4 linked regions of the Arabidopsis thaliana genome follow. The protein of the gene in region 2 interacts with the protein of the main gene of each other region in a pairwise test. Each region holds a gene or a part of one and is shown on either strand. Other genes may lie near its edges. The genes, in order: HSFA1E, AT5G41580, HAT9 and BIM3.

What was found.
Region 1: the proteins of AT5G41580 (region 2) and HSFA1E interact in a two-hybrid assay, tested with the Arabidopsis thaliana proteins (one large-scale study listed by BioGRID).
Region 3: the proteins of AT5G41580 (region 2) and HAT9 interact in a two-hybrid assay, tested with the Arabidopsis thaliana proteins (one large-scale study listed by BioGRID).
Region 4: the proteins of AT5G41580 (region 2) and BIM3 interact in a two-hybrid assay, tested with the Arabidopsis thaliana proteins (one large-scale study listed by BioGRID).

The regions. Positions count from the first base shown.
Region 1 is NC_003074.8:671,540-677,680, reverse strand, and holds HSFA1E (heat shock transcription factor A1E), read right to left. Parts: upstream 4,254-6,141; 5' UTR 4,068-4,253; coding exon 3,822-4,067; intron 2,854-3,821; coding exon 1,693-2,853; 3' UTR 1,661-1,692; intron 1,561-1,660; 3' UTR 1,253-1,560; downstream 1-1,252. Other genes in the region: AT3G03000 (EF hand calcium-binding protein family), read right to left, coding at 1-293; MCC1 (MEIOTIC CONTROL OF CROSSOVERS1), read left to right, coding at 5,466-5,611, 5,692-5,836. UniProt on the Arabidopsis thaliana protein: Transcriptional activator that specifically binds DNA sequence 5'-AGAAnnTTCT-3' known as heat shock promoter elements (HSE).
Region 2 is NC_003076.8:16,625,685-16,633,681, forward strand, and holds AT5G41580 (RING/U-box superfamily protein), read right to left. Parts: upstream 5,137-7,997; 5' UTR 4,976-5,136; coding exon 4,797-4,975; intron 4,642-4,796; coding exon 4,569-4,641; intron 4,472-4,568; coding exon 4,406-4,471; intron 4,208-4,405; coding exon 4,142-4,207; intron 4,058-4,141; coding exon 3,975-4,057; intron 3,784-3,974; coding exon 3,732-3,783; intron 3,652-3,731; coding exon 3,580-3,651; intron 3,346-3,579; coding exon 3,278-3,345; intron 3,192-3,277; coding exon 3,143-3,191; intron 3,061-3,142; coding exon 2,976-3,060; intron 2,894-2,975; coding exon 2,792-2,893; intron 2,642-2,791; coding exon 2,590-2,641; intron 2,508-2,589; coding exon 2,456-2,507; intron 2,325-2,455; coding exon 2,208-2,324; intron 2,118-2,207; coding exon 1,449-2,117; intron 1,377-1,448; coding exon 879-1,376; 3' UTR 501-878; downstream 1-500. Other genes in the region: WRKY24 (WRKY DNA-binding protein 24), read left to right, coding at 1-5; AT5G41590 (LURP-one-like protein (DUF567)), read right to left, coding at 6,537-6,920, 7,931-7,997. UniProt on the Arabidopsis thaliana protein: Together with MOM1 and PIAL1, regulates transcriptional gene silencing (TGS) independently of changes in DNA methylation.
Region 3 is NC_003071.7:9,703,549-9,708,200, forward strand, and holds HAT9 (Homeobox-leucine zipper protein family), read right to left. Parts: upstream 2,670-4,652; 5' UTR 2,501-2,669; coding exon 2,090-2,500; intron 1,986-2,089; coding exon 1,906-1,985; intron 1,735-1,905; coding exon 1,401-1,734; 3' UTR 1,084-1,400; downstream 1-1,083. UniProt on the Arabidopsis thaliana protein: Probable transcription factor.
Region 4 is NC_003076.8:15,557,022-15,562,373, reverse strand, and holds BIM3 (BES1-interacting Myc-like protein 3), read right to left. Parts: upstream 3,474-5,352; 5' UTR 3,292-3,473; coding exon 3,137-3,291; intron 3,039-3,136; coding exon 2,963-3,038; intron 2,884-2,962; coding exon 2,788-2,883; intron 2,644-2,787; coding exon 2,306-2,643; intron 1,818-2,305; coding exon 1,688-1,817; intron 1,565-1,687; coding exon 1,463-1,564; 3' UTR 1,248-1,462; downstream 1-1,247. Other genes in the region: AT5G38850 (Disease resistance protein (TIR-NBS-LRR class)), read right to left, coding at 3,944-5,071, 5,163-5,352.

The sequences.
Region 1 (6,141 bases), on a different chromosome or scaffold from region 2:
ATGGCTTTAAGCTGATCATCCGTGTAAGGACACTTGACCAGATCTGGCTCGACGAGGGCGACGAACTCGGAGAACTCGACCAGTCCGTTGTTATTCCGATCTGCTTTCTGGATCAATGTGTCGAGTTGGTCTTGACTCGGCTTTAGACCGAGAGATCTTAGAAGTGAGCCTAACTCGAGCTCCGTCAAACTTCCATCCTTGTTCTGGTCAAATGATCGGAATATCTCCCGGAGCTCCGCTAGTTGTTCGTCGCCTAGTTTCGCCGGCGCCGGTTTGCCTCCGTCGCAGCTCATCTCGAATCTGATTTTGAATACTGTCAAGCTTCGATTTCGATGAACAACATTTTTCTTTTTAGAGTTGATTTGTTTCTTCTTGACAAGTCAACGATGACAGGTAATGGATTACAAATTTCAAACGAGTAAAGATTTTGATTTTCTTATTAATGAGCAAGAGAATAAAAATTTTATTTTATTTAAATCAAATAAATGATTGTGGATGGAATACGAAATTTTTTAAATTAAATTATTAATTGAACCAATTATTGGAACGGTCAAAGGTTGTTCGGTGGAGGGAAAACAGTCGTGCTAAGCGTTAATTCACCGGAACTGGTTTGTAGAAATGGATGCCAAAAGATTTCTTGACAATAGAAAAATGTTATAGCTTTGATTCGTATTTTAAAGAAGATAATATTTTCGACATTTGTTAGCTATATATGAATCGAGTGTTCGACATACGTTATATATTGCATGCATGAATGTTCAAATTTTCTTTCAGAGTAACTATTTTATCCTTAATATATGGTCTTTATCAATTCTTTTAACAAATTACATGTTTATTAATGTTCATATCCTCTTTTAAAGCAATATATCCATGAGATATCTGTGAAATTTATCATATGTAAAATATTTATATAGTTTTCAGAAATAGATATATATCATATAAGCTATATAAATTACAACTAATGGTAATATCATATGTAATGTTGTATGTAATGTTAAAAGCAAGTTTAAGATTGATACAAACGACAAATGGATCTGGTTCGGTTGCAGTTTCAGAGCTTAACATATGCATGTACATACACTTTGATTCCGTGTAATCAATGACTTGATCCTTTTAAACCACTTTGTTACTATATCCACACGACACACGTTCTTCCTTTTTACTCTCTCTTTAGATGATTTCCTTTAGACGAAATTGGAACATTAGTTTTACTCAAGAAACTAAAAGTGAAGGACTGATAAAAAAACACTAAAGCAGGTAAGATTTGGCCACAGGTTAACCAAAATGCCAATTTTTGCACTTAATGTAACAAAAATAAACAAGGATCTCTAAAGACATACACAAGAACAGAAGAATATCTCTCACTTTGAAGCATCTCCTTTTCATTCTGTCAGTAACAAACAAAGATATTGCAATGCAAAAATCTTTTAAGGCAATATTTCTCTTATTTTATTATACATTGACAAGAATTAGAGTTACAACAGTTTGATACATACATACATAGTACCTCCTTTGGTCATATTCTTTTTGTTGTTGCGGCTCCACAAAATCTTAACCCATCTGCGATAACAAGACAAAGACGAGGGGTTTGGTTTTGCACAAAATTTAAATTTTGGAAAGTGTGTGGTTTATAACATATCAATATAGATAGACTGATTACCTCGTGAGGAAAGATTGTGGCCTGTGGCAATCTCATTTTCTGAGAGCATCTGATGTGAGAAGTCCCATCTGTTCAGTAAGATGGTTCATTTGTTGATTCTTGCTCCACACATTACTCAGGGTTGATTGTAACTCTAGTTGCTCCAATATCAGTTCATTTTCCACTGATCCTGAGATTAACTCATCTGTCTCACCAATCACTGGGCTCTCACCAATGAACTGTTCCCAAAAAGAATCTTGGACTTCAGGAAGCAACTCATTTAAGGTATCAGCTTCTAGTTCGAGTGCGCCATCCAAAACAGCCATTATTGGATCCAAACACTCTCCATTATCTGTCTCGCATCCAACAAGATCCGAACTTGAGCTCCCAGAAGCTGCTGCTCCTTGCGTTGGAGGTAAGAGATCACCTTGAGAAAAAGGCAAATTGGTCTCCATGACTTGATTTGTTTCACAAGGCTCGTGGTACTTCATTGCAGGATAGAAGCCTGCAGGAATGGATGAAACATCTGCCAATGTAACTTCAGGTGATCCATTTGAGGAGCTCCCATTGTCTGAAATGTTAGAATTTGGAACATCGCCCAAAAGAAAGCTACCATTATTGCTTGAGAGAGATTCATGGCTAGGTGCATTACTCATCTGCTGTATCTGTTGAAGCATAGTGTTTGTTGCATCGTTCATCGATGACTGATATCTCACAATCTGGCGGCTAAGACCATTAACCCCATGACTGCCAGAATTCATCTGGTCCTCAACAGGTAGCCTCCTCTTTTTGTTGCTTTCAGAAATGTGTTGGTTTGCTTCATTACTCTGCTGAGAAAATTGGTTTAAGAAACCTGGACTTTGGACAGCCTTTGCTAGAAAGGACATCATCTGTTGCTGCCTCTGCTCCATCACATGAACTTTCTGCCCCACATTCTGCAGATGATGTTCGGTAACTTGTTGTTGCTGCCTCAACCTTACAAGTTCCTGCATAAGGACGTTCTTATCGCGCTGAAGTCTTTCCACTTCCTCTTCGAGTCCAAATTTGCCCACTTCAACGCACGCACCCACAGATGAGTGCTGAACTTGAGGTTGTTGTGGAGGCTGCACTTGTGCAGGTTTTCGCCGGACAATACTCTTTAGTATTTGCTTTTGGCCTCTTAAAAAGCCCTCGTTTGCAAACTCCCAGCGGTCTGGATCAACTTTTCTAAAACCCTGAAAAAAAGAAGCATGGAGAATGGAACAGTCATCAACCGCAAGAAGTTACTTGGATTCCGTTGCAATAGGAAGCCAACATAGAAGATTTGTATAAACATAAAGACCATTAAATACGTTAATAACAACTATTCTAGATATGGTATGATACGTTCACTGGGTCTAGCTGCAGCACCAAACTACCATGGTCCAAGGAAACTAATACAGTTGTTAGTGTATCGGCATGTACCTGGACGGACAAATACAAACGAATGGAAAGCTAACATGGGACAACTGATAGAAATTTTGTTTTGTGACTTAAGAGGCCAGAAATGGAAGTGCTGAATCAACCAATCGTCAGACACATATGAGCACATGTCCAAATAAGCCTGCAAAGTTCGTGGAACCTTTTGGTAAGTAAATAAGAACAGGGGAGGAACAAGCTACGCAAGAGTATACACTTGTTAGTTTTGCTTGACCTAAGAAAATTCATTCCAGCCTCACAGACACGGATGCAAGCTCAGATACTTAGAAAAACAAAAACATATATGCCTGCAGTTCACAGGGTATACATGTACAAAAAACAACTGAAGAACAATACAAATATGTGAAATTATCTTGCACGAGTTTGTCAGAACCCAAAAAGATCCAATCTTAACAGTTAGTGCAACTAAAATCAACATTAACACAACCTACTAGACGTGCATAGTTCAACCACCAGCGTCAACAACTATATAGGAACATCAATCAGTAGCATCATACTATACACTAAATAGGAGTCGACTTCTCAAAGCACCTTCTTGCAACCTTAAATCATTCGTGAGTTTTATCAATAACTAATGCTTAATTCAACCACAAAAAAAACAAGAGAGTAAAATAAAAATGAAGCACATAAAGTAAGATTCCCTAAAATCGAACTACGAAATTGAAGAAAATCGAATCAATGAAGAGAAAAACAAATAAAAAAGAATCGATCGAAGTTCACTCACATAAGTATTGAGCTGTCTGACGAAGCTGGAGAAATTGTTGTGCTTGAAATACTTTGGTAGAAACTGTTTGGCGAACTCAGGCACGTTCCAAACCACGAAGCTGTTGTTTCCGCTGCTCCAAGACACCACGTCGTCCGTCAATGGATCGTCAACCATATCGTACGTTTTGCTCAGAAAAGGCGGAATGGAGCTCATCACCGCCGTCGAAGATTTCGCCGTCGCTACAGATTCGCAAACCGTTCCCATAAATCAAAATCGCAATTGATTCCGGTGTACCGTCTTCTTCAACAATTCCGAGATTCACTACTCCGGTCTTCGCAAACCTTACAGAGATTTATATTCGAAGATCATCTCTTAGCGACGAAGAGAAGAAGAAAGAAGCTCTCTCTCTCTCTGTCTACACTTATATTAAACTCTGGAGATAGCTTTTACCTCTGCTCTTTTATTTATACACTCTGATTTTTTTAATTCCAGAAAGCGGTGGAGTTTCGCAGAGTGATATAACGTGTCGTAATCTCTACCGTTGATCTGATTACCTCTGCAACGTCCGATTATTAAATTAAAAAATTAGTTTTGTTGTTAAGATAAGAAATACCACGTGGGCTGGACTAACGTGCTTGGCCTTTTTAAAAAAACATTAATTAACGTACGTACCTGGTCTTTTTCTGATTAACGTATCTGGTCCTAAGCTCTTTTTTTCATACGTGGCACTGGACTCGCGTTACTTTTCTCAATTTTTTCCATTTGCGTTTCACGTTTTTTTTTGGATAATTTTCTGCTACTCAAAGTTTTGTTGTTACGAAAACGTTGAGTCTCTCTCTCTCTGCTTGCCGCCGAGACGGCCAATAATTTTTTTTTTAAGACAATATTTATAAATCTGAAATAAACATCGATCCAGATTTGTGGATTATAGAAATCTTATCAAATTTTATAAGATTATTTCTTTCTATGATATCTAACGGCTCATCATGTAAGACTAATCTAAATTTGTAACGAAGAAAAGTGGAAAACACATAACAAGTGTATTGGCCCGCCTAATCGAGTTAATAGGGCAAGGAAATTCTCCTTTACTGCCTAACTCTTCTCCAGTTTGATTTTTATTTTTTGTTGTGGAGGGGAATATTTTAAGGTTCTCTTACCATAGTACAGACTTATAACGAATAATAATAAAAAGCAGATTATGAATCGAAAGTACGAATTTTTTCAAATCCATTTTTTTCAGATAGAAAAAACAGTACGAATTTTTATTGTTAAAAATGGTTATATTATTGAAAATGGAACAATTTTTCATTTAAGAGAATCGAATATTCCATTCATAAATAGTACATTAGTACTCTCCTTCTAAAAGAGGCACGTGATTGGTTGTCGCAAAGCACACGAGCCAAGATGCTTCACTTGGAACGAGAAAAAGCCCCAAGAGACAGAGGAGAGGGCAAAGCAAGCAAGCACCTTTTTCTTTCCCATGCTCGAAACTCGGTTCTTGATTGATTCCTTCGCCGAAGATTAACCAATCAAATCCAAACAAACCCACTCAGATCCAGATTCGTTAAATCTATCCGGATCCATTTACTTCAACGGGTCGGATCCAGTGATCTGGCACTTCACAATGGGAAGTGGCTTTTCTGGTTCTTCGGATACCAAACAATGTCGCGATTTCCTCGAAGATTCATAGATGATTCATCAATGGAAGATGCAGGAATCTCTCTTTGCCCAAGTATTCACTATAGACCTATAAACCCTAATGATCTAGATCGTTTGGAGCAAATCCATCGCGATATCTTCCCCATCAAGTATGCATCCATCTACTTGGATTTTCCTATGTTGGTGTCTTGTGAAAAGATTTCTAAAGTATTGATTTTTGTTTTGTCAGGTATGAGTCTGAGTTTTTCCAGAGTGTTGTGAACGGAGTTGATATCGTCTCATGGGCTGCTGTTGATCGGAGCCGGCCTGATGATCACTCTGATGAACTTATTGGTTTTGTTACTGCCAAATTTGTGCTTGCCAAAGATAGCGAGGTTAGTTTTCATTCTATGAATTCGTCTTTTTGTAATTCGAACAATAATGATCTTTCAGGTCCTGTAATCACCTTGAATGTTGAACTAGTTCATAATGCTTATGGTTTTTGGTTCGTCTGTGATCATGTACACTAAATAAAAGTTATTTCACTTGTCAAAAATCTTTAGAACAGCGGCTTGTAATAATGTCTGAATTATGATTGAATAATCTGTTTTGGGAGCTCTGGTAATGCAATTGAGTCTAGTGTTGTTTTTATCTTCTTATTATCTATCTTCATCAGCTGGCAGATGGTTTCTGTGTCTTG
Region 2 (7,997 bases):
TTTGAATATATAATGGCTTAATTAATGGTGTAATTACTTAAAGGTGATTAAGGTGTTAATCACCCCACTGACCGTTTGACGACCCACATCTCCCAAGTGACAAGTCACAAGTGTGTAGATCAGATTTTAAACCAATGTAACAGTTACGACTTTTTACAAATGTTTCTGAATTTTATCCCCTGATTTCTGGTTTATGATCGGTTTACGCCGATGATTTGACAAATACCAGACAAAACAAGTTTAGTTACATATGTAAGTATGAAAAGGTAGTTTCCTCTAACTTCATTAAACCCACCCTCATTCTCTACAACTTCTTTGATATTTTTCTACATACTTAACAGAGAGAAGTTAGGGTCCAGACATTTGGTAACTAGAGAATTCTAAAGAAGAAAAACATGCTTCAGAGAGAGAGAAAACTTGTACAAATAATCAACCGGAAGACATTTGAAAGATGATACGTTGTCGATTTTTGTTTGTGATTACTCTTTCAAATCCCAAAATTCATCACTAAACCGGCCAAAGTATGTATTATGGTCCTTTATGCATAAATGTCTTACACAAGAAAACCAAAACACTTTGCATCCAAAACCTAACTAACTCAAACTAGTTCTGGGCAAAAAAAAACCAGTTCAGAAAACTAAGGGAACTTATTGGGTACAAGAGTAATTGATAACACTTATAGTTTGATCGTCATTACAAGTTAACAGCAAGCTAAATACAAACTAATCCCTCATAAACAGAATACGACTTGCGCACCGGAATCCTAAACTCTGTTCATGGCGTGGGAAAGTGATAAAGTTACTAATTTATTATGTTAAGTGTTGTGTCCTAACTCCTAAGTACCAACTTCCCCTTGTTCTAGCCTCTCAAGTTCTCCATCAAGATGTCGGTCCAGTAGGCCTAACAATGCCAGGAGGAGCGGGCACCGGATGGTTTCGGTTTCCTAAAACTGTCTCGGTTCTATAGGCAGCCGTTGTAAAAGGTGACTGAGCTTGAGACGTTTGAACCGATGGTGTCTGAACCGGCTGTGAACTATTCAGCCTAGTGGAAGTTTGAGACTGTTGGCTAGGTCGGATGATCATGTGGTCAAGAGCAGTGGAATGAGAACCGGGCACAAGACTTCCTCGCATCCTCGGGCGCCAGTTGGATGTATCAGGAACCGTCAAGTCTACATCCACTAGGTCACTTAATCGAGAAACAGATTGAACAGTGGGACCACTTGGGTGCTGCCTTGAAGTGCTTGCATGGCTACTGGTTAAACCTCTGACGCCATAATTATTAGGCTGGCTGAGTACTCTAGGGACATGCTGAGACTGAACAAAAGAGGATACATTCGCTGGCGACTGGCTCGTTACTGGAACTGAGACCTTCCGGCTCTGCAAGGAACACATATTGTCAACATACGAATACTGAAGAAAGAAACAAGTCTCTCAAACGAAATCACAAACCGTATATGGAGTTGTCATTGGTGGCGCTTGAGATTGATAAGTCTGGTTCCATCTCGGACTAGTGGTTCTACCAAGATATGTTCCGGTGGGTGTAACAGGTGAAGCATGAACCTGAGAGTATTGTGGAGAGGGATTCGGTATGGTGAAGACAGTGGAAGTAGTTGCTGGTCTATCTCTTGGAGATGGTGTCTGCGAGAATGGTACAGGTACCGGCATTGGATCTATGGACATTGGTATTTGGGATAAGTTTGAATATTGTTGACCAGTTCCAGTATTCGAAGCTTGATGCGGTTGTGGCGCAGTGTTTCCCAAAGCAGATAAAATCTCCGGGTCAAGTGCGATCACATCAGAGATATCAAATATCGAAGAGTAATCATCGTTTGAAGGATGTTTATTTGTGTTGTTATTATTAGATTGACCCTGAGCATCAGACATACAGGGCTTCCGGTCCTCAACCTTGTTGTCACCAAAAACTTCCAGTTCAGCATCATCATCCCCCGTAAGATCGAAAACAACAGGACCAGAGTTTAATAAGCTCATCGGGTCTTCTAGATCATGAATGATCTCACGCACAGGTTCCGGGGTCTCGCCAGTATTTTTTGTAACCTTCCATGTACCACCAGCATCGATGATTACATCAGCAGCATTGTGTTCCACATCTTTTAATATCTAAGGATATGATATGAGACGAGTTATCAGTATTAAGCTGCAACGCAAAAATGTAGCAGAAATCAAATTACAACATAGATAGCTAATTGCCTTGGCCATGTTTTGATCTAAACGAATGTCAGGGTAGCAAACAGGTTGATTGCAATGCGGGCAGCGCCAGGTTGGGTTCCTCATATTTATGTGAACGTAGTTTGAGAAATCAAAACACTGCAGCAGAAAGTATCACATCACTAACAAATATTACGAGAAAAATAAGGTAACACCCACATTAAAACACTGTATGCCAATTTAAAAGGATGGAAAAAAAGAGAATATCGCTTGATATTTGATTGCATCACCTGAAGATGTTTACATAACTGGCCCTTGACTGGTAGCTTGATCCGCTTGCGACTGTTTTATTAAAGACTAAATCACTGACCAAAAAAACAACCATAAGATAACACAGTAGTACGTAAAAAAGTAGAATTGGTACCTTATAGGGCAACTGAGAGATACTCGTGATGGCCCCTCAATGATGTCTGAATCTATAGACAGGTAAAAAAAAGTACAGAGCGATTAGATTGGAAAAAAAATCTTACAGGTATGTGCTTGCAATCATTGAATGATTCAAACTGGAATAGTATAGAGCATTCAAGAAAAATGTTCCTCTCTCCTATCTTATGCTCTTTAATTACCTGGACTTGCTTCAATGACTCCGGACTGAAGGTAATCTTTAAGAACCGGTTTTTCAGGTGGCACTACCAGTCCCGTAAAAGCAATTATGATGATGTAATTTCCTTTGAACAATCAAGCATCTTAATAAGATATTAATTAAATAGACATGGACAACAAAAAAGATATATATAATTGAATAGAAACCTTTAAAATTCCCCATCACTTGGAGAAGATTAGTTCCATATTTCAGCTGTGCAGTAACATTTGTAGGGAGTTGAGGCCCTGTATCCTGGAAAGAAAAAAATTGACATAAACATGCACATAACCAGTGCAGAGAAACAAAATCCAATTAAAAGTCAAACTGCACAAACCATTGCGATATTGACTCTCTTCTCAACCCCCTTTCCATTTAGCAAGAAGCTGCAATTTTCATATGAAAGCCAGGAAGGTTAAATTGGATCACATTTCGTGTCGGTGAGGAAAAATAGCAAAAACAATTCGCATACCTGACTTCTGGAGGATTTGAAATACAGGCAGACGTGTCTATGTTGTCTGTCTGGGCAACAAATAACCGCTGAAGAGCAAACAAGAATCTGGTGTAAGAAATCATTTGCTAACCAAAAGGTGCAGAGAGTGGGCACATCTACAAGATGAAATAGATTCAAAAATGTATATGAAGGACTGTTAGATAGAATGCAAGCAATGGTTATATTCACATTTTCCACCTAATTGCACAGATAAAGGTAGAATTTATTATAGAGAGATCCAGACTGAGATATCGAATGACTAACAGATGAGCCACACATACAATTTTCTCTTGGAGTGAATGTGGCATATTCTTTGAGATATAAAAATCATGCGCCAGCATTGTATAGCCAGCCTGTCATGCAAGGAAAGCCAAAAAAGCACACTTAGATGATAATATCAGAAATAGATGTTTAGAACAGAAGAAAGGCTCACCTTCACTTCAAAAGAAACAAGAACATGCCCAAGCTTTACAAATGGATAGAACCTGGGATCAGAAAGAAATAAATTTCAACCAATGCTTAGATTTGTATCCAGTGAATACCATTCTATTGAAGAAGTTTTTGGTACTGCTTAACTAACTTGTGATAAAAGTTTGGAAATATTCACGCTCCTAATAAACTGCTAGAGTAAAATCTATGTCAATCAACAAAGCCACACAGTGAAAGCAAAACCTACCTCTCCATGATCTGCGAAAATGTACTGCCAGGACTTTTGATACCAGGGCTAGTGCTTCCAGAACTCCCAAAACAAGTCCTTATCTGAATAAGAAAGAAAACATTTGTATCCTCATCATCCAAATAACCTGCTTTTGGTTTTATACCATGATTCGGAAGAAAACAAACCTCATCAGCTAGAGCGATAAGTTCTTGACTCTCGCTATCCGAAAACCATCCCAAATGACAAGCATGCTGTGACATTTAACAAAAATCAAAAGTATTATATGTCAAAACCAAATGAGTCATCATAGATGGTGACAAAGTGAAAACCTTTTGACCTCAAACATTCCAACCGACATGAAATCTAAACAAAAGGCTTCTCTTTTCTAAACAAAAAAAAAGTGCTTATTCACAGAACAGAAGCAGTCTGCAGATTACTCTCTTAATTACCTTAACAGAGATCATCAGCACCATAAGCGCCGTCTTAGTGTACACATCAGTTCCATGTCTGCACAACTACGTCACATAACACAAGCACTATCATCAGTTCACTAACAATGGCCTCCATTAATCCAGAAAAAAAAAAAAATCCATATTTTAATTGAGAAATAACCTGTTTGAGTAACCACGGAAACTCCTCAACCTTCTTAGGAATATCATTATTCGCTATAGCAAAATCAATGCCTCTGAACAGAGAAATTAAGCATATCATCAATTCAAAAACACAGCCAAAAAATCAAAACCCAGAGATTAAAGAATATCATTTAGAAAAGCTTTGATTTTTGTGCGCGCATGTTAATATCTATAAGTAATGGCGAGAGAGAGAGAGAGAGGAAATTACTTAGCGAAAGAGATGCAACAGATTTGAAACTCCTTAGGATCAACCTTAGCTCCGTCTTGAATGTGGTAACGTAAACGTTGAGTCACCGACGCTAATCGGAAGGAATTGACCAGTGACGCTGCCGTCTTCTCCCGTAAGCCAGTTCCAGCCACCGGACGAGCCGCTGCCGCCGTAGACATTGAGATTGGAACTAACTACCGTGGAATCACAAAGTTTCTGGATTTTGAAATGGAGAAACACGATTTGAAGAAGAAGAAGAAGAAGAAGGAATAAATTACTCTGCTCAATCGACAATAACCCTAAAATTCTCTTTGACCCTGTTTTTTCATTTTAATTTGTTTTTATGAAGTCCATGTAATTAATTTTGCTTTATTGTTTTGTAATTTGTTCTTTATGTAATTATTTTTTGAATTTTTACCCTTGCACTTTAAAGGTTTTCTGAATTATATCCCCAAATATTTAATTACTAAATTTGAAACTTTAGAAATTGTGTGTTAACTTTAGTAACAAAACTTATTTTGTACTATTTGTAATAATTTCCCTTATTACCACTACTATGAACCCTTGGTTAGGTCTAGTAGTTTACTTATTAAATTAAAAAGGCTATAAAAGAAATATGATAAAAACATGTGTATGAATGATCTTGAGCTTGAAGACCCACTTTGATTCATAAACTAGCTCTTGTCCTTTGTTCTTTTGGATCTTACCAGTTAGTTACCATCGATAGTCGATATGATGATATGCTCCAAAATGCATCTTCGATGATTACCGTTAGGTAGTTTGTTATAACCATATGAGACAAGTTACCAAAATAAATACTGCAACCACATAAATGTAGGCATTTATGTTGTTTCTATTTGTCTGCATTAATTTGTAATATAGGTATTGCCTTCTTGAAATGGACACTTCGTCATGTATAGTCTCACAAGACCAGGGGCGGAAGTAGTGAAGGGAGAAGGGGGTCAATTGACCCCATAACATTTATAATTTTTTGTTTTTAAGTTAAATCTCATAATAATTTATGGATGTTTTGGTTTAAATTTTCCATAATGACCCCATGCCGATAATCGATTCTTTAATTTGACCCCTCACATGTTTATTTTTATTAAGCATTAATTCATTTTTCATTTTTGTTTTGTGTTTTTTTCTAAAATATGGCTACAAATCTCTAAAATTGTGGTACATATTTACTTTTATAAACATATTCCATATATTGTTCTTTACATTATTTTCAAAGTTGTTCTTACACATATTTATTTAATTTAAAATAAATAATTAAATAAAAATATATAATTATATATGACCCTGTAAACTAAAATTCTAGCTCCGTCACTGCACAAGACTTGTCCTATTGAAAATGAGGTAATTTGGTAACCATTTTTTCAGTACCATCATAACAAGTAAGAAAAGTAGTTGCACCTGAAATAAGTTATTCATTCTAAAATTCATAAACCACTTTATTTAGATATAACTTACTGTTTCTACCTCATCAGATTAGAACATCAAGTTAATCAAATTACTCAAATAAACATCATAAAAACTACTACACTTACGGTTTTACCAGGGCATTGTTTTCCCATTTTATAGGATGAGCATATTTAGAAAGCTCACAAAGAAGATCATGTATATAAGTATATTATACTATACTGTTTGATTATTTATGAAATATTTTAAAATAGTACTGTACAATTGGCCCAAAAAAGAGGATGTTTATTATCTCCAGTGATCACCTCTAATTAATTAAGAGAACATTTGATCTAATAACAAAACCAAAGCCATTGCCAAACCGGTGTCAAAACCGGGATTAACAACCAGATCAAAAACATCTGAACCGAACCGGACTCCTTTGGTTCTGACCTCTTTCCTTTTGATCTCCACCACTGTCTTGTTCAATGGGACGTGCACTATTTTACACGATTTACATCTATACGATCCTTTGATGATGTATGAATTCTTCTTATCGAACGATCCTGAATATACGTATGCCAAAATGTCGGATTTGGTGCTCAGAATATTCATCTTTAAGTTCTTCCTCATGTACCAGGTTGGGCACTTTGGTATTTTTGTTTCTCCTTTTGTATCATTTGCTTCATAGATTCCCCAACTATCTACTAGCGTAATTTTCTGGACAATACAAAGGAAAATCGTTTTTAATATACACAACATTTTAAACTCAAACTAGTACTTGTCTATAAAATTGCATTGAGTAAAAATATCTAGATCCATATGTACGTAGTCACGTCAAAATTGATCAATTTAAACGAAATTAGGCATAGCTAGATTTTGGTGAAACTAAAAGTCAAACATATAATACTCGGAGATTCTAGACGTCGTTATGAAATTATGATTATACTTTTATAGTCAAAACTTTTATGCTGAATGAAATTTTGTAAATCTATTCCCAAAGAATGTAACGGGTTACACGAAATTCTTGCCAATACAATTGTCCACATGCAGAATATTTATGAACTTTTGACGTGACCTATTGTGGACGGTGTCACGGTAGTGTAGTTGGTCCTACTCAATCTTAATAATATATATACTATAGTATTCGTAATATCTTCGTTCATACATATCTTCAATCGGCTAAAAACAAAACGTCTTCTACAAAATCGGCTAACATGTCTATCAGCGAAATTAATACTCAACATTCATTGTTCATTATTATCAACATATCGCCGACCTTAAGTACTATTTACAAACTATCACAATTCTAATGGTTGTAAGCAAATCGATCCGATACTTCGCTAGAGTGATCCGTAAGGACGACGAAAACTTCTTTCAATTTTTAAAGTATTTCTATATCATTTTGGTAAATTCCACCAAAAATTCACAACTCTTATAAATCATTTTGTTGTTGCTCCATTTATTGTTTTGTATCAATCAAGTATTTGGATGTTTTATAACTACAACCTAGAACTAATATCTACACAACTAATTTACAACTACAACGCTAACAAAACAGATTCATAAGTACAACTGTGAGACAGATTTAGTAGAGGTTTGATTCTTAATAATCTAAAATAAATGTGATATTGTAATTTTGAAGGATGATGTGTACAATGAATATAATGATCCATATTCTAAAACATATTCAAATAAGTTTATTCTAAATACTTTGTACATATATTTACCTTGGTACGATGCATGAGGAGGAGGGAGTTTCCATCTTTATCCATGAGGATGAGTTCCTCGGGTCGG
Region 3 (4,652 bases), on a different chromosome or scaffold from region 2:
TTTTAGCCGACGGACCCTAACTACAATGACTAAAATATTGCTCATATTTACTCCTTTTTGTTAGAATATTTATTCTATTATTGTGACCATTAAATCTTTTTATAAAAGGTATATATTGAGTACACACAATAAAGTATTAGAAAGGTTAGTACTATTCATCTTGTTGTTCGTGTGATCTTTGTATTTATATATTTTTTAAAAACAAAACTCTTGCTAATTATAAAAATTTCATTAAAAGTGATGCATCAATACACGTGAGCTAACCTCCAAACCCCACACCCTTTTTCTCTCTCGCTTAAAATCCTTCACACCCAATTTCCATTTTTTTGTTTGAATTTTCCCTTTGGATAATCCATAAGTATAATATTTTGAGTAAAAGAATTACTATCACATCAAATTAATGCTTCTGATTACACAACTCAATTTTGGATTTACTCAAAAGAGAAAAGTTTGGTGCTACTAAAATTATAAACCCTTTTAAAAGTTGTGGCTTTCCCATCTGCTTAGTATTCCCATATAACTTTTTATTTATTGGTGGGAAAACATAGTTTCCATCAATTTTTCTTTCCGTTTTTGGATTCAAGAGTTCAAATACAAATCAAGTTGATACCACTGCCTTGTTTAGATGAATGATGAATCTAATATAAAAGAACTTTGTTTGTTATGATATAGTCTTAATTATCAGATGTTTTCACATGATATAATATAAGATTCTTTCTTTTTGTAGCAATAATCCAATGAACCTTATACAAGCTTGAAATGTCATATAATATAATAGGAAAGATCAAACGAAAACTGCATTAGATGTTTAATGTGATGTAAAACATGACCTACCATTATATTACATAGATGTCGTATTTTAGCGTATAAAGTTTTAACTTTTAGATTGAGATTTGTAATTTAGTATTCTTGTAGCTTATCACCACCACATCCATTGAGTCCCATTTAAATATGATATTATACGTTATATATTTTATCTTTTTATTTTTTTATGAACAATACAGCCCCTTAAGATCTAAACACAAAATGATGAAAGTAATCATCGGCTGATCATTAGTATGCATGAAAAATTCCCATGTATAATTATATTGTTAAATAGTTTTTCATTTATTACAAACATGATTTACTTGACTAAAATTGAAGGTGAGAAAATAAGATGTATAAATTAAAGTGAAGACTATTTTACCTTTTTCTACAAATAAAATAATAATTACAAACTATTCTTTTTCTCAAACCAGCAATCCCACTGAAAAACAAAGTGGGAATTGTAGAAGAGACCATCTATACGCATCTTACCCTTTCTAACATAGTTTTTGTGTTCTTCCTACTAGTTAAAATGCCACCCAAAAAAAAAAGAAAATTAATATTTTAAGTAATAAAATTAAACGAATTACTACTATTCAACAAGCTGCAGATGGGTTAGTAAAAGGGTTGAAGAAGTGAGGCTTTGAGGAGATAGAGAAAGCTCCTTTGGCCGTACTTCCATCTACAATCACCGCGGTAGCCCCGCTGCCGCCACCTCCTCCTCCATTACCCCCGCCGCCGCCGCCGATTCTCTCACAAGAAGGACACTTCGTTAGAGTCGATGCAGGCATGTGCATGTAAAAGGGCTGAGTCAATTTTAGGGTTTTGAGTTCTTGAATCTCTTTCTGAAGTCTTATGTTCTCATCTGCTAATGTTTCACAACACTTCTTCAAAAACTCACAATCTACTTCTGTTTGCTTCAGCTTTGTCCTGCTCATTCATTAAATAAAATAAATAATTAAATATATATAACCGAAAGAAAAATCATATCACCTAAAAAATAGAAAATATTTTCACCTACAAAATTTTCTGACTATTAAAGAAATTTTGACACATGAAAAAATCAAATATTCTGATAATTTATAATATAATTTTTTTTACCTGGCTCTTCTATTTTGAAACCATACTTCAACTTGTCTAGGCCTTAGATTCAGCTGTCTAGCCAGAACTTGCTTTTGTTTCTGTAAATAAAATATAACAACAAAGAATCTGATTGGATAAGAATTATCAAAAGTGATTAGTAACGTATAATAAAAAAGAATTAGGATTAAGGATATGTAGTTACGGGATTAAGGGTGCTATGATCCTTGAAGCTTTCCTCAAGAAGAGCAGATTGTTGTTTCGTAAGCCTAAGTTTTTTTCTAGCACTAATACCTTCTTCATCTTCATGGTAATCACTTATAACTCTCTCCGTCATCTCTTCCTCCTCCGGCGACTCTTCGCCACCGTCTCTCTCTCTTTTCACCACCCTCCCGCTTGAGAAAGAAGAGACTCCGCTGTGAGATGACGTCTGACGGCATAGCTGGTCAGCTCCGGTCACCACGGTAACCGAGGGATCGCCCGAGAGGCATAGAGTCAACGACGGCTCGAGCTTGTAAACGGAGGATTGTCTGATGGTACTATTGTAATTATTTGGAATTGGTGAGGGACCTAATCCAAGAACAAGACCTGTGTTGCATGTATCATCAAAACCCATCTGAGTCGAAATGAAAAAAATATGCCTTTAAAATTTATCTATCTTTGAGATTTCGAGAGGAAAAGGAAATGAGTTTAGAAGATAATGGGAGGAGATGAAGCCAATGGGGCTTCTTAAGAAGGAGAAGAAAAGTATTTTTTTTATTTTATATTTTTAAGAAATTGATGGGTGGGTGGATGGCTAATAGTTATTAATCAAAGGAATGATTTATATTATTTTAAAGAAATGATTTTATTTTCTTGGTAATTCTTTTCCTGAAAGAAAAAAAAAATAATGTGGGAAATTATGATGGCACAATTCTCTCTACTTTTATTTTTCTTACTTGCAAAGGTTGACCAAATGAGCATCTCACTTGGCACTTGCTACTATTCTTCCCACTAATAAGAGAAAAGTTCCCGAAAAAGTTCAATGATTTTATATTTGGTAGAAGATGGAATTATCGTATCATGAATATAAATTAAATATTATATTTAAAGCTTTCTCCATTCTTTTTCTGGTATCATTGGGTTCAGTCGGCATCGGTATTTTAGATTTTTATATCATGAATATTTTTATCATGAAGCGTACGTTATTGTAGACAAAAAAAAAAAAAAGAGACGAAATTAGTATGAATAGTAATTAGAAAGTGATTAAGAGGTGCCTTTAAATAACGGACCACAAGACAGTTTTACTTTTACCCACTAATTTTCAGCCTCCTTTTCCTTATCATAGAAACACATTGGCCCTTGATGTTTTATTCATTTATTTAATTATGTATTATATATTTTAGTTATTTTTTTTCTTCGTATACATATGGATAGTGATCCCCACCATCTTGTTTAGGTTTGGTTCTCTTGATGTCATTCACCAATTAATTTAGTACTTTTTGGAAAGAGTTAGGCTTAGGCATATACTTTATTTTCGAAATTTTTTAAACAAGGTGATTCATCCGTACCAATAACTCGTTACATCCATAATTAGTCTCGAGCTTTAACTCACAGTTATCTATATAGATTACAAAGTATTTCCTAGAGTTTTATAATATATCATATCGCGCTTTCTCTTTCAAGATAAACTGATGTACCAATAAAACATATAAGAGAAAAAAGGAAGTAAAATCATTTTGAAACTAAAGTGTACGAATATATTTATATATTAGGGTAAAATACTAAAATAAGAACAACTATATATATAAATGTCACTATACCATGATAACAAATGTTACTGATTTATACCATGCATGGTGTTAAAAGCCGGAATTCAAACTATTATATTTTGAGCAGTCATTACATCACAAATTAAGACTCGGTCAAGCTATATCGCTAGATATAATCAAAAGTCTTAAGTCCGTAGTTAGGTTTATTTTACCCGATTTTTATTCAAATTGCAATATGTGGTCGAAACAGTTGTAAAAAATGGGTGCTCACCTTTTAAATCACTTTTTGTTTGGTTACCTGACGTAACATTAGAATTATCAAGAGAACACACAAAGGAGAAGTACAATAAAAGTGGGTAGAAACTAAAAAAATGATATGGGTGAATACGATTCGTCAACAATAACCTAAAATCTTTGGAGTAATGGATTAAGAAAGTTTATGTGTAACGTTTCATTAGGTTTGGTCTCAGCTTTGTTATTTGTTTTGGCACTTCCCAATAATGAATTTGTCGGCTATACTCGTCCAAGTAAAGTTTTTTTTTTTTTTTGTCGACCGTCCAAGTAAAGTTAGGTTACCCATCTTATACATATTATTATTATCATTATTTTTAATCCTTAATTATTTTTTCATTTATAATCTACTCTTATATATATATATGTATATATATATATATCTTTCTTATTTTTTAATTAATGCATTTTCTTAACGAAATTCTGTTTTACCCCCTAATTCTGCTAGTAGCACACACACGATATTAATGCTTCAATCAATGAAAAATACCAATTATAACTTAATGTGATTTTTCAGTTCATATCATTGTATAACATTTGACTTTTTCTAGGTACGACGAGTTATCAATATGCTAGGAAATTAAGAATGATGAAAGTTCGTGGATAATCTTATATTAATTATAAATTGATTTTTTTTTGAGGAATATTAATTAAATTGATAAAAAGTAGAATAGTTCATCAATTTTAACTATAAACTTTAATATGGTGTCGCACCGTGGAATTGGT
Region 4 (5,352 bases), 1.1 Mb from region 2:
GAAGAAGAGATCATCAACACAAAAAGAGGAGATCATCAAGATACCTGCAAAACAAAGCAAACATAATTACGACAGACAATAAGTTGTTTTCCCCACATCCATGGTTTCTTCCTCCAAACCCGTTTGCGCCACCACATTCGATTTTTCCGCCAAACCCATTTGCACCACCACCTTCGATTTTCCCACCCAATCCATTTAAGCCCCCACCACCCTCATTTTTCCCACCAAACCCGTTTCGACCACCACCTCCTTCAATCTTTCCTCCAAACCCATTTCAGCCTCGTCCTCCGCCACCATCGATATTTCCTCCATTATTTCCTAAGCCACCTCCCGCTCCTCCTCCATCAATATTTCCTCCATTATTTCCTCATCCACCTCCTGCTCCTCCTCCCTCAATATTCCCTCCAAACCCGTTTCAGCCTCGTCCTCCTCCGCCACCTCCCGAACCTCCATCGATATTCCCTCCAAACCCATTTCAGCCTCGTCCTCTTCAGCCACCTCCTGCTCCTCCATCGATATTCCCTCCAAACCCATTTCAGCCTCATCCTCCTCAGCTTCCTCCCACAACTCCTCCGTCGTTCTTCCCTCCAATATTTCATCAGCCTCCTCCAGCTCCAGCTTCTCCTCCTCCGTCGTTCTTCCCTCCAAACCCATTTCAGCCTCATCCTCCTCAGCCTCCTCCCACTCCTCCTCCATCGATATTCCCTCCAAACCCATTTCAGCCTCGTCCTCCTCTTCCCACTCCTCCTCCACCATGGTCTCTCTTTCCTCCACTGCCACCGATCTTTCCAGGCCTAAATCCACCACCACCACCTCCTCCTCCTCCTCCTCCACCTCCGTCGATCTTTCCATTTCCTCCATTCCCATTCCTACCACCACCAAACAAACCTGGCCCTCCTCCTGCTTCATCTCCTTCAGCAAACAAACAGCCTCCTTAATCGAACAAGAGTATCATAATATATACATATATATACCAAACATTTAGTCGAGAGATGAACTATCTGTTGTATAGACAGTCATATTTACATAAGGTTAAAGAATAAAGATGAGTTTTCAACTTCTACAGAATATTGCATCTGTTCTTGAATCTAAAGATCTAGATACTCTAGCTCAAATCAAGCTTGAGACACAAGAAAACAAGGACTCCTTTCTGCAAATCAAACGCATTACTTGATACAGACATGTCAACAAGCACGAAATAATTTCCCGGTTAATAGTGTGAGAAATAGAAGGGCAAGAAGTGATATATCTAAGAGACCATATACTTAAAGTACCATTAAATGGAGCAAACTCTTGTTATAGATTTGCGAAACTTGTTACATCATTCTACTTAGTTTTTACTATATCATTTAAAATAGTTGCAGCACGATAAAAGTAGTATCTACACCTACTGATCCTGACTCACCGAAAGTAACAAAATTATCAAACAGTTGTCATAACATAGAAAATAGAAAACCAGATCTTATCGTCTTATTCTCTTCTGGGAATGATCAATATCATTGCAGAAGCTTCTAGTTTCAGTAGGAGAGTCCCCTTCTTCATCAGCGATGCTATTACCATTATCCTAATGAAAAAGATACATAGCATCAAAATACAAATTAAAATACATAGAAATGTTTTTATAAGAATTACTTGCAGAGTAGTAGACTTCTTTTTCTTTTCCACTGTAAAAATGTTACAGGCATACCTCAGAAGCAAACGCAGCAACAGAATACTCGCGATCTTCTCTTTTCCGAAGGCTTAACTGCACAGATATCATGGTCTCTGACATGTTAACACCCGATGACTTAAGTGCTTCAGTTAGAGTGTTAAGTACCCTGTTCACAATCAAACCAAACAAGAGTTTTCAATCAAATCTCTCCATCTTTATTTCCTCCAGTTATCCGTTTTTAGAACCCTGAGTCTGTTCCAAATACAGAAGCAGATAGGATCTTCAGTTTGAATGACTACCTATTTAGGAGAGAGAAGCACTATTCAAAAGAGAAACTTTGGATTATGGTTATGCAAAATCTTTTCCTCTAACAATTACCAAGTTTACAGCATTTATCTCATACTCTATCCTACAGAACTTCATAGCCAAGGCAAACAAGAAGTCTCCGCAAATAGCTGAGGCATCATTGGAACCTTGTATTATATCATTCTCTCTTAGTATCCAAAAAAGGTAAGCCACTGTTTAAGGAGAGCCAGACAGGAAGGAAATGAGTGTACATCCGTGAGAAACTATATACCAACCCAAACTTTCTACCAAAAAAATGAATTAATTACTGAACAAAAAAAGCTTTATTTTGCTCTACATATGTCTTACCTTTGTGAGCAGACAGTGGACAAGCTGGCTGATGTTTTTTCGTCAGATGTTAACAATTCATTTGTAAAACAGTTAATTGTTCCACAACTTGTTTTTGGTTGCCAAAAGTCATGCTGAACAAACTGCAGCGAAGGCTCGGTACGTAGATACGATGAAACTGCTGAAACAGGACTGTGTTCAGGAATCTTGGTGCTAACTGCTGAGTCAATATCAGGATTTACTGAATTGTACGTATCCAAGAGAAAACCCGAAGAAGCAGCAACTTTATCATTACTTGAAAAGCTTTTAACGATTTGAGGATGGTCATTTTCCTCCGCAACAGACCCATGACTATTTCTCTGCATCAAAGTTACATGAAACAGTTGTCAAAAATACCAAGAAAGATGAAACACTTAACACAATAACCATGTTTCTCTAAAAAAATGTAACAAAAACGATTCAATATAACAGAAAACCAACCAAAGATAGGAGAAGGAATATACCCAAGGAATCAATTTGGTTGGGGATTGATACCACATTTGGTGAGAATCTTCATACATGTGAACTTTTTCTTGAAGAAAGTGAATATACTCTATAACCTGAGACAACATATAAAAGCAAACATCATTCTGATTCTCTGAAACACATGTTCTGTTCAAAACTATAAATTTTACTAACCTCCAACAAGAAAGAAGCTTTATCTCGTTTCTGATCATTCTGATTCTGAGGTATAATATCCATTAAACTCTGAAATCTGTATCCACCAACCAACAATCACAAATTACGAAACTTTCTTGTTACCCTTTTTAGAAAATCTGATAAAAATTCAAACTTTGAACACTTATTATTTACCTTTCATTGATTTTGCTTCTTCTTCGTTGCTCAGTCTCTGAGTGTTTCGATCTACACGAGTTTCGATTTCTCCTCCCTGTTGAAGAATCATTTCGAGAAGGCAAGTTACTGTATACATCTGCTTCTAACTGATCATCGATATCATGAGAGTTCATAGTTCGATGAAGTACGACGAACTCGACCCCGGAGATGGCGCAGTGACCGAAACTCCGGCGAGTGAGACAGAGACTGTGATTGATTTTTGTGTAGGTGTGTTCGTCGAGAAGGTGAAAAGAAAAGGAAGATAAAATCGAAAATTACATAGATAATGTGAAAGGCTCAAAAGCCCATTTAAAACGGATAGTTTCAGGCCCAAATTAATTCACTGTTGTTGCTACTATCAATTTTGTCAGTTTTCACGATCCGTACACTGCATTTCAGTAATATTTGCTGCATCCGAATTCAAACAGTATGATGCTACTACTCATCATATCCAACTCAGTGAAGCAGCCAAACAAGTCATTGTAAAGTATAAACAGATATTCTTTCCTCACTTGCAAATTCGTTCGACTTCTCCACTTTGATATTCTCCTTCTTGCTTCTCTCATCTTCCTCCCCAAACTAAACTTCCGATGCTTCTCACAATATGGGAGACATCAAAACAGATGATGAGCCAACTCCAACAATCTGTGTATTTGTTGGCTTCGATCTTGTCTTCGTTCGAAGTACAGATTAGGCTATCATTATGTCCATTATTTTTAGAGCATTCCAATGCTTCCACGGGTCCAAACTCATAGCTCCAATCGTTTTCATCTTCACAAACTTGGTCTATTTCATATTCATTTCTCCTTTCACTGATTTCACCTGTTCATCTGTATAGAATCTGACACCACACTCAATAATCTCATAGGTGTCGGATATGTTGCTGAATTCAAACAGTATCTCGTTGCCTACTTCATGACATTTTTCCTTGTTATGCAAGTCAGAGTGAAACATAACTAGATGTTCTGCTCGAGGTTTGGGGATAATATAAATAGGTGTTTCGTCATCGGAGCAACCGATTTTGCCAATGCGAGGACAAAATAAGGGAGAATTGCTAGTTTCTTCAGCATCATGGTTAGGGGAAATCACGAGGAAAACCTTAAATCCAAAGAATGCAGAAAAAGGAGTCTTGCCCTCGAGACGAACGGTGATGGAATGTCCGGTAGATCGGTGGTATAAGTCAGTGGGCAACTCTCTTCCAGGTAAGGATGCCCACCCATGAGAAAATGATTGTTGAATAATTCCTCTGCGTGCTTCTTGGTTTAGTTTGAAGCAGTTGGTGAAGCTGAGTTCCATGTATGAAGTATTAAAAGGGCAAGATACGCTCTCAAGTGATTCACACTCGTTTGCTGATAAGTACAAGAGCGAACCAGGAAGCTCTGGCAATGATGCGAGTTTTCTGCAGCCACCTAGAAATAAAATTTGCAGCCCATGAACATTTTTGATGTCATCTGGAATCTTCTCAATTCTAGTCTCGCTGAGGTCTAGATATGTTAGGTTTAGGGGCACATGTGTTACTATCTTGAGGTTTCTACTTTTGTATATTTCGAGAGTACGTAGGCGAGACCACATCGTCATTGATTCAGGTAGTTCTTCCACATCAGTGTATGATATGTCGAGTGAACTGATGTTTGTAGAAATATCTGGAAAGCTTTTTAATCTTGAGCATCCATACATGTTGACCAATTCAAGAGACTTCAAGTTGATATGAGGTGGAACTTCTTTTAGCCTTCTGCATCCCATCATATTCAAATACTTTAGCTTATGCAGATAAGAAAAGGAGGAAGGAAGCTCTACTAAATTCTGGCAAGCTCTCAGATCCAATTCTTCGAGATTTGTAGCATTTGACAGATCCGGAAGTTTCTTTAAATACCATGAACTTGACAAAGACATCTTCTTGAGATTTGCAAGGGGCTGAATGTAAACCAGATGTTAGAGTAGAAACATCAGAATAGAGAGAAAATATGTATAACATCATTAAAGATATGAATTTATGATAACTAACCTGAGTTCCATCCCATAGCTTCTCGAGCAGGCTACCTTCCATATCAAGTTCGACAAGATATTCCAGGTTAAGTTTAAGAGAAAGACTTCTCCTCGGATATGCTTCCCACTGTAGTAACCTTAGACGAGGTGGAAACTCCATGTTCTCCGGTATGCGCACTCTGTTTTTTTCATCATATCCAGTCTTAAAC